2 linked regions of the Cricetulus griseus genome follow. The protein of the gene in region 2 interacts with the protein of the main gene of each other region in a biochemical or structural test. Links are inferred from orthologs where the notes say so. Each region holds a gene or a part of one and is shown on either strand. Other genes may lie near its edges. The genes, in order: Gab1 and Plcg1.

The links.
Region 1: the proteins of Plcg1 (region 2) and Gab1 form a complex in vitro, tested with the Homo sapiens proteins (2 studies listed by BioGRID and IntAct, with this or other methods). The link is inferred for Cricetulus griseus from reciprocal best matches to the Homo sapiens genes PLCG1 and GAB1.

Annotation. Positions count from the first base shown.
Region 1 is NC_048596.1:156,648,543-156,653,088, reverse strand, and holds the start of Gab1 (GRB2-associated-binding protein 1), read left to right. Parts: upstream 1-1,634; 5' UTR 1,635-2,504; coding exon 2,505-2,576; intron 2,577-4,546. UniProt on the Homo sapiens protein: Adapter protein that plays a role in intracellular signaling cascades triggered by activated receptor-type kinases. Plays a role in FGFR1 signaling. Probably involved in signaling by the epidermal growth factor receptor (EGFR) and the insulin receptor (INSR).
Region 2 is NC_048599.1:18,755,998-18,759,801, forward strand, and holds part of Plcg1 (1-phosphatidylinositol 4,5-bisphosphate phosphodiesterase gamma-1), read right to left. Parts: intron 3,577-3,804; coding exon 3,408-3,576; intron 3,323-3,407; coding exon 3,200-3,322; intron 3,117-3,199; coding exon 3,015-3,116; intron 2,933-3,014; coding exon 2,745-2,932; intron 2,437-2,744; coding exon 2,236-2,436; intron 2,164-2,235; coding exon 2,044-2,163; intron 1,967-2,043; coding exon 1,786-1,966; intron 1,095-1,785; coding exon 1,017-1,094; intron 358-1,016; coding exon 254-357; intron 39-253; coding exon 1-38. UniProt on the Homo sapiens protein: Mediates the production of the second messenger molecules diacylglycerol (DAG) and inositol 1,4,5-trisphosphate (IP3). Plays an important role in the regulation of intracellular signaling cascades.

The sequences.
Region 1 (4,546 bases), on a different chromosome or scaffold from region 2:
TTTTTTATGTGTATAGATATTTTGTTAAAGAGGTAATTTGGTACATTATTTTGACTGTCTCCCGAGAACTGGGATTACAGATGTAAGTTGCCAAACAGTTAAAAATTTTGTATATAAGAATGGAATAACTGATACTTATTTGAAAGAAAAAGCTGTAATTGAAATTCTCAACGTTAAGTCATACAAGATAGATTCCACTTTTCTTTTCCATCTGAAAGCACTTTGTGGCAAGAATGGAGGGTGCTGTCCCTTTTTATATATTCAGGGACTTCTGTCTCATTACTAACGCAGCACTTCTGCCTCCTCCTGCCTCAGTTCCTCCCTCTGTTCCATCTTTCTCCGACCCCCCCCCCCTTCAGGTCGGAGACTGCAGGTGTGCCACCATGCCAGGCTCTCGGCACTTTTCCCTCTCTCCAAACTACAACATTGCAAACTCAGAACTCCTGTTTTTTTTGTTTGTTTGTTTTGGTTTTTCGAGACAGGGCTTCTCTGTATTGCTTTGGAGCCTGTCCTGGAACTCACTCTGTGGATCAGGCTGGCTTCCAACTCACTGAGATTCATCTGCCTCAGCCTCCTGCTTCCTGGGATTAAAGGCATGCACCACCACCTCCGGGCTAGAACTGTTTATTAGGAGAGTCCCAAGTATTATATACTTTTCAGAAATGCTGGTTTATCAATTCATATTTTCACACAGTCCTCTGTTTTTTGAGACTGGATCTCTCTTTGTAGTCCTGGTTATCCTAGAACTCACTTTGTAGACTAGGCTGGCCTGGAACTCAGAGAGATCCGCCTGCCTCTGCCTCCCGAGTGCTGAGATTAAAGGCATGCGCCACCACACCATGCTCTGCAGCACTTATATCTGATTATCTATATTACCTTTTAAAATTTGTTCCAAGGCTTTGTTCCAAATAACACGCATAAATAAGAGCTCTACCACAGGACTGTGTCAAACTCGTCCCAGGTATAATAAGTAAAACACACAGAAGGCAAATAGAACTATGGCATCCAGTACGATTCTGTTTCCTGTCCAACGTCCTAGGGCAGGTTTTAAGCAAATACAAAGCCAACTGAAAGAAACAACCCACGAATGAAGGTAGTGTGAGACTTTATTGTGTCTCAGAACTACATGCTGCTGAACGCTTTGTTGAGGCTAAGGAATCGCAATGGGCAGAACGGCTCCTGGGTCAGGCCCTAGGCGTCCTGGAAGTCCCTCTCCGTCTCCCGGTGCACAGCAGGGCGCGCTCCTGGTCCTGGGGAGGAAGCCCTTTAGCCTCGCGCGACCGGTACCTTGGCTGGGTTATTTTTTCAGGCTGTCAGGTCGAGAAAAGCCCTCGAAACTCCGGATCGCGAGGGTACAGCCCATTCCAAACTCCTAGCTGACACCAGGTAGTGTCAAGATGGCAAACTCAGATGGAGCTGGCGAGCATGCCCGGCGCTCCCGCGCTCGTGCCAAGGTGGCGCTGCGTTCCCGGAGACCGCCGCCTTGCCCAGCGCGCGGGCCCGGGGCGGCAGGGCGGCGAGGACCCCAGCGCGCCGCTGACTACAGATCCCAGGGTGCCTCTGCCATCTCGCTCCCTCCCAGCACCGGCCCCGCCTCCCCGGCCCTTGTTTTGGCTGGAAGCGCTCCGGAGGAGTTTCAGAGAAAGTCTGGGCAGAAGCTGGAGGCGACCGATCGTGGGAAGGGGAGGCGGAAAGGCAGGAGAAGGAGGGCCCACCCCGGGCCGCGCCTCCCCGAACCCGCCGCGCGCCCCCGGGTGGGGGAGGAGCGCAGGGGACGGGACCGAGGGGTCCCTTCCCGGAGCAGAGCCGCCCTGTGCCTCGTCCCTGCGCTGATCCCCGCCCTCGTCGGAGGCTGGAGCGCAGACCCACCCTCCCGCCGCGGACCCGCGACCTCCCCGACGCCAGGCGACGCCCCGCGCCTCGCCGCCGGTGCTCGCACTCCCTAAGCGGATCGGGAGCGGGACTTGCCCCTGCGTCCGCTGCCACCGGGAAGCCACACGCCTTCCCGGGGGCCCTCCTCGGAGCAGAGGGAAGGAGAAGATCGCGCCCCGCTCGCTGAAAGCGCCAGCGGGCGGAGCGGAGCGGACTCCGCGCGCGGGCATTGTGTGCGCGCGTGCAGCGTGGGGTCCGCAGCAGGGAGCGCTCGCGGGAGGTCCTGTCCCCCCCAAGGGGCGGAGCGCCAGGCGCCGAGCTCCCGACTCCGTGTCCCGGCTGAGTCCCAGCTGAGCCCGACCGCTGCCGAGGCGGCGGGACGGCGCGCCTGGCGGCCGGGAGGGTGCACTGAAAGAAGGCGGGTGAGCTCTGGTCCCCGCGGCTCCCGCTCGGGTTCTGCTTCGATCCGCGGGTCTGCGGAAGAGACTCGATCGCCAACACAGGGCGCGCGGAGCCCGGCCGCCCCGTCGAGGGAATCGGCGAATTCCTCGGGTTCGTGTGTGCCGGGAGCGCGCCCACTGTCTCCACCGACCTCTCCGGTGTCTGGCCCTCGAGCCCTCACGGCGTGCACCATGAGCGGCGGCGAAGTGGTCTGCTCGGGATGGCTCCGCAAGTCCCCCCCGGAGAAGAAGTTGAAGCGTTATGTAAGTACAGGTCAGGGCACCGCCGGCCACGGCAGCAGCAGCCTGCTCGCCGCCGAGCTCTTCCACGAATCCCGCCCTCCGCTTCCTCGATCCCTCTCTCGGCCAGCTGGCTTCGGACCGGGTGCGGTCCACTCGCACCCTGGCGTCCACTTGGCGGCCAAACTTTCTCCCTCCATGTTGCAGACCGCCTCCCCTGCAGGCCTCGCCGCCCCTTAGAGGGGCCCAGGCTCAAGCCGGCTGCATACTTTTCGTTGTTGTTAATTCCACTGAGCAAGGGTGGGGTGAAAACGGAAAGAAAGAGCCTTCTTTTATTATCTGCATCTGATTCACATGGAGCTATTTACATCTCCCGGCACCGAGGGCTAGTAGTGATCATCAGTTCTCCCTTGGGTCCGCGCCCCCTCTGCGCCTCTAGGAGGTTGAGGGAAGCGAATCGTGGACGCGAGAAGTGGATCGTATAGGCAAACTTCTCAAAACTACTCACACAAGGGAAAGTGTTGGGGCGGGGGTTGGGGGGAGTTCTTACGCGCCCTACCGTCTGCTTAGCAGGGTTCACATTTTCGCGGTTTTGCTTTGAGGGACACTGGAGTGTGGCCCGAGAACGCCGGCGGTTTGATGCGACCGGAGGGCGCTGGGGGGAGCATGGTGGCTAATGTTTGGGCTCCCCGGACGCGCTGTCAAGCCCCGCAAGAGGGGACAGCTGAAGGCAGCAGGGATTTCTGGGTGTTGTGATTCTTTTCCAGGGCACCAGAACGGCTTAAATGGTATTTGTGTAATTGACTCAAGATGCTGATTGTGTGTTAAACTGTGTTCTCTGTCAAGAAAACTGTATCTTGAAGGAATCTACACTACTGCAGTGGAAGTCTGTGTCCTACTCAGGAGTCTGGGATCTTAAATCTTACTCCAGATCGACTAATTTTACGATGTCCCCTGCCAGCGAAGAAATGACACTTTGTCCTGGCAGCTGAAGCAATTATTTTTTGAGTAAACGTGTTTTCCTAAAGCAAAACGTACAGCGTACCCCCTTAACCGGTTTTGATGGAAACTGTTTCTGGTTGAAGGGAATCTACACCAAGTACCCACCTCAAGTTAGTCAATCCGATTACTCACTGCTTGCTTGCATGAAACGGGCAATATTTATTTCACAGAGCTCACCATCGAGTTTCTGGTTTACTTTCTGCTAGAATATATTACAGACAAGCAGTTTTATTGAAAGATGTGCTTCGTTAAATTGTCGGAGGATCCCCAAAGATGCCTGTCACGTTTTCCTGGATTTCTTGGTAAAGATGGCAATTTGATTCCAAAAATTTTAGAGAGTGGTAGTGGTGTCTTCAGAATTAGTTGTAAAGAGACTATTGTGTGAAGGAGGAGGGGTGGGGAGATGGAGATACTAGGCTTGAGACGCACTGCTTAGGGAAGATGGCGTTAGGATTCTCAGGGAAACTACAGTACAGTATATATGGCTGATAATGGCAATAGAAACTCAGCACACTCTTTCCCATTAGTTTGTGGCTCACTAGTGGTGCTGAACTCGGTCCTAGGCACCAGCCACAAGGGAAGGTAGTACAGAAGGGGAAAGCCTTGTAGGAAGAATGGTCTTAACAAAGGCCAAAATAAAATAAAAACTGGGCATGGTGGTATATGCTCCTAACACCCAGTACTTGGGAGACAGAAATGGAAGGATTAAGGCTAGCCTGGTCTACATAGCAATTCTAGGCTAACAAGGGCTGTATCTCAAAAACAAAACCACAAAAACAAAATAAAGTTTGTTACTAATACAAATATTAATAATAAATACATAGATAACAATAAGCAGAAGTGTGTGGGAGAATATATATGTGTATGATTATGTATATTTACATGTGTCATTTGTTGACAACAGCAATTTTCTCCCATTGGAGTGGGTTCATTCAGGGTGATATGGCCATGTACTACAGCAGTTTGCTAGATGTGGGGCTTGGTGGGGTCAG
Region 2 (3,804 bases):
ACCACAGCTGCTTCTTCCCACCATAGTCCCCTCGCCACCTGTGGGAACCACAAGGTACTGACTCTAGCAATGACCCCAAACTCCCACAGGATCTTTTTGGGGGTTCCCACATAGAAGTCAGACACTACTACTGAACATGAGACAGATTCTATCGAAGCATACTGTCACAGTATTCTCAGTGCTAGCTCCACGAAGTTCCTGGACTCCCATCCCACCACACCACAGACTCTCCAGCCTGGAGGGCCTGGCTCACCAGCCACCATCTTGCTTTTCCACATTCTGTATGATGGCACTCTTGGTAAAGGTCAGCTCATCCTCTCTCTGGGCCTTGTAGTCAAACAGGGCTTTTACTACACACTGCAGAGGTGAGAAGATGGGATTGTGTGGAGTAGAGCAGAGGGGCGGGCTCTCCCCATCACTTCACCCAGTGCCTGGGCTTATACCAGTGGGAGGGATCGCTGTTAGCAAGTATTGCTAGACACAGTTCTGCATGCTGTCCTATGGAAGTTTTAGGACAACCAAGTTAGGAAGACAGAGGGCTTTCTCCAGGGAACCTCCTGGCCACTGACATGGAACCTTTGGAGCCCTGCCTTGGGTCTGTTCCTAGGAGTAAGACTGGTGGCTCCATAAGAGTAAATGCGCTCCTGTACCTCCCTACAGCGTGAGGACCCTCACTTCTCTCTAATGGCACTCTGGCTACTGAAGAGAGGGAAGAGGGATAGGGCAGTCTGCCATATTAAAGAAAGGGGCAAACCAAAAGAGCCTATCTAATGGATCTCCATGATGAAGGGAATGGCTGCCCAGTGTGCCATCTAGTCCATTCTACTGTCTGTGAAAGACATGGAGGTCACTCTCAGGGAACAGAGCCACATGTCTCCTACAGCCTCCTCAGTCTCAGGAAACCACAGCCATTACTTCTCCATACCACAGGGGGCCCAGAATATAGAAATACAAACCCCATGCAGAAGGGGACCTCTCCTTCCTCCTGGCTTCCTGAGTCAAGGACAGATACTTACCTTGAAAGTCGGCATAGGGTTTGCCTCCACATAGAAGCCAGGATTGCGGCCCTCATAGAGTGCCCCATAATCGGGTTCCTAGAAACAGGACACGTTGTATCCATTAATGCCCAGCACTGAGATAAAAGCAGCTGCTAGCTCCCACTTGCCTGGTCTCTGAAGCATAGCTGGCCCTCTTCTATAGGCTGTCTGCCCCATTCACTGACACTTGGCCTACTGGAATCCCCCAACCCCGAGAGAGTGAGGGTGACTGTAGGGACTCAGCCTCACCCTCATTTTGCACTCTTACTCAAGGTCTATCACCTTGGCCCCTGAAAACTCAAATGCCACCTGCTCCGGAGTTGCCTGCTGCTGAGCTGCCACCAGCATCGCAGACTTGGAGTTGTTCAATGGCTGAGCCCAAGGTCAGGAAGAGGTCCAGCAAACCCTCTTCCTTGGAAAACCTAGGTCTTCTTTCCAGAGCCTGAGGCATCCATACAATTGTACCTAGCCTGCCCTCTGCCCAACACACCCAGATCAAGCCCATGTGCGCACACCTCTCTTGTAAGCTGCCAGACCTTGCTACCCACCCCTTGGTTCAAGGGGATCTTGCCTGAACGCCCAGGCACGGCTCAGGTCTCACTCACTCTAGCTATATACACCATGGCTCCCAGGGCCTTCTGTGAACTTCAAAACACCCCAGGATTCTCTCTCAGCACAGGCAGAGACCTCAGTTACTGTGTCCTCTAAGTACACTGCTATGGCCTCCCCCACCCCTGTGGCCTCTCACAGCTGTCCCAATCTTCTCTAGTGCTTCCTCGTTGATGGGGTAGCGCAGCTTCATTTTGCGGTAGAGGGGATGCTTCTCATAGTAACTGATGAGGTCAACCAGGCTGTCAAACTCAGAGTTCCCCAGCATCACAGTCTGGCCTTCCTGCTGTACTCGGCAGTGCTTGATCTTTCCCTCAGCCCTTCACAACGAAAGGACAGTCAGCATGGCAGATGACCCAGACCCAGCAAGAACCCACACCCATCCAGCAGAGCTCACCGGAAAGAGATGGCATATGAGTTGGGCTCATTGCGTTTCCGTACCAGGAAGGCCCCATCACGGGGCACGCGCATCAGCATATGTTCAGCTTGAGCTCTGGTCAGGCTTGCGTGGTACCACCTGAAAACCAGCAGAGTCAGGCCCTGACTAGAACTTCCCATACCACACTCATCTCCCTGTCCCTTTCCTCACTCTTTGCTCTCATGGGCATTTGTCTGTGGGACAGGCTCCGAAAGGCGCATCTCAAACTCGTTGCAGCGCAGCGGTACTTGCTGATAGTGTGTGATGAGGTCATAGAGGGAGTCGAAGACAAGGTTATCTGTCAAGAAGAACTTAGGAGTCCCAGCATCCTGCCGGGAGTGGATACGGCAGTGCTGAACTTTCCCATTCCGCCTGAGGAAAGACAGGATGAGACAGGCATGAAAAACAGGTCAGAGCTCCAAAGAATACGTAACTAGGCAAGGTATAAAGCTTCAAAAAGGGAGACCATTCTCCAAAGAAGCTTGGATAGTGAGCAGCCCTATAGGAGGTCATACAGATCAAACACAAACACGCATGTTTAAGTACACACATGCCTGTGTAGGAAAGAATTATGTTCCATGGAAAACCTAGAGCCAAGGCTGAACTGTTAAGCAGTTATCCCCAAGAACTATGTCTAGTACAAGTAGACTAAACACAGGTACTGTGCAGATGTGGGTTACCAGAAAGACAGCGTGTAGTCACCCACGAAGGTCTCACTTTCTCGAACCAAGAAGGAGCCGTCAGGAGCCCCAGTCTCAATGCAGTACTCAGTGAGCAGGCGCTCGGCAATGTGCCGCCCATCGCGCCCAGCCCCGAGCTTCCCATGGAACCACTTCTCACTGGAGTGCAGCTCTGTGCTGCTACTGGCCTAGACAGGAGGACAATAGCAAAGACACCCAGTGACTACCCAGTTCTCATCCTGCTCAACCCACACCCCTGAACAGTTCTACCTCCTTAGGCTCCTCTTCATCCTCATTGCCCTGGTCACTGTTGGTCTCCTCAGAGTAGTAGATCTTGCTGCTAGTCAGAACAAAGTAGTGGGGATACCATTCCTGGAACAGACCACAGGAGACCTGTGAGCCAGAGTCCAACACACGGCCCAACCCCACCATGTCCAGGCTCAGCTAGACCTCACATGATTCACGGGGTCCTCCAAGTAGAGGATACCATTCTTGATGGAGTTACTGATGTCATTCTCAGAGTACATCACAGAAGTGGGCACCTCCTCATAGGCACTGCCCTCAGCCAGTTTCTTGTGCTGTGGAAGCAGACCAGGTCACAGCAATCATTCCACACCTAGTCCCATCCTTAACTCAGGGATCCTCCTACCAACTGCACCACACCTTAATAAGGATCTTCCTCTTGAGCTGGTTGGGCGAAGGAAGTCCATCAGCAGCAATGTCCACAGGCTTGGTAAGGAGTGTGTCACCAAGCACCTTTTTGAAGTACTGAGCCATGTTTCTCTGCTGAGCAATGCTGCAGTGGTCCTCGATGGACAGGATGACTGGGTATCTGGAGGGCAAGGAGTAAGTACAGTGAGCCTCAGTCCAAATAGTTTCTTACAGGGCAAAATGATGGGAGGCAAGAACCTGGGGTACTTTATTCACAGGACCGTTCAGAAGAGAGGCAGCCACATGCAAGGGCACGTCAGGAAGCAGCCAGGAGGCAGTGGGAACCAAGAAGCAGCAAGTGGTACAGAAGGCAGCCCCTGAGTGGGTCTAATTAGGAGGCTGCCCTATG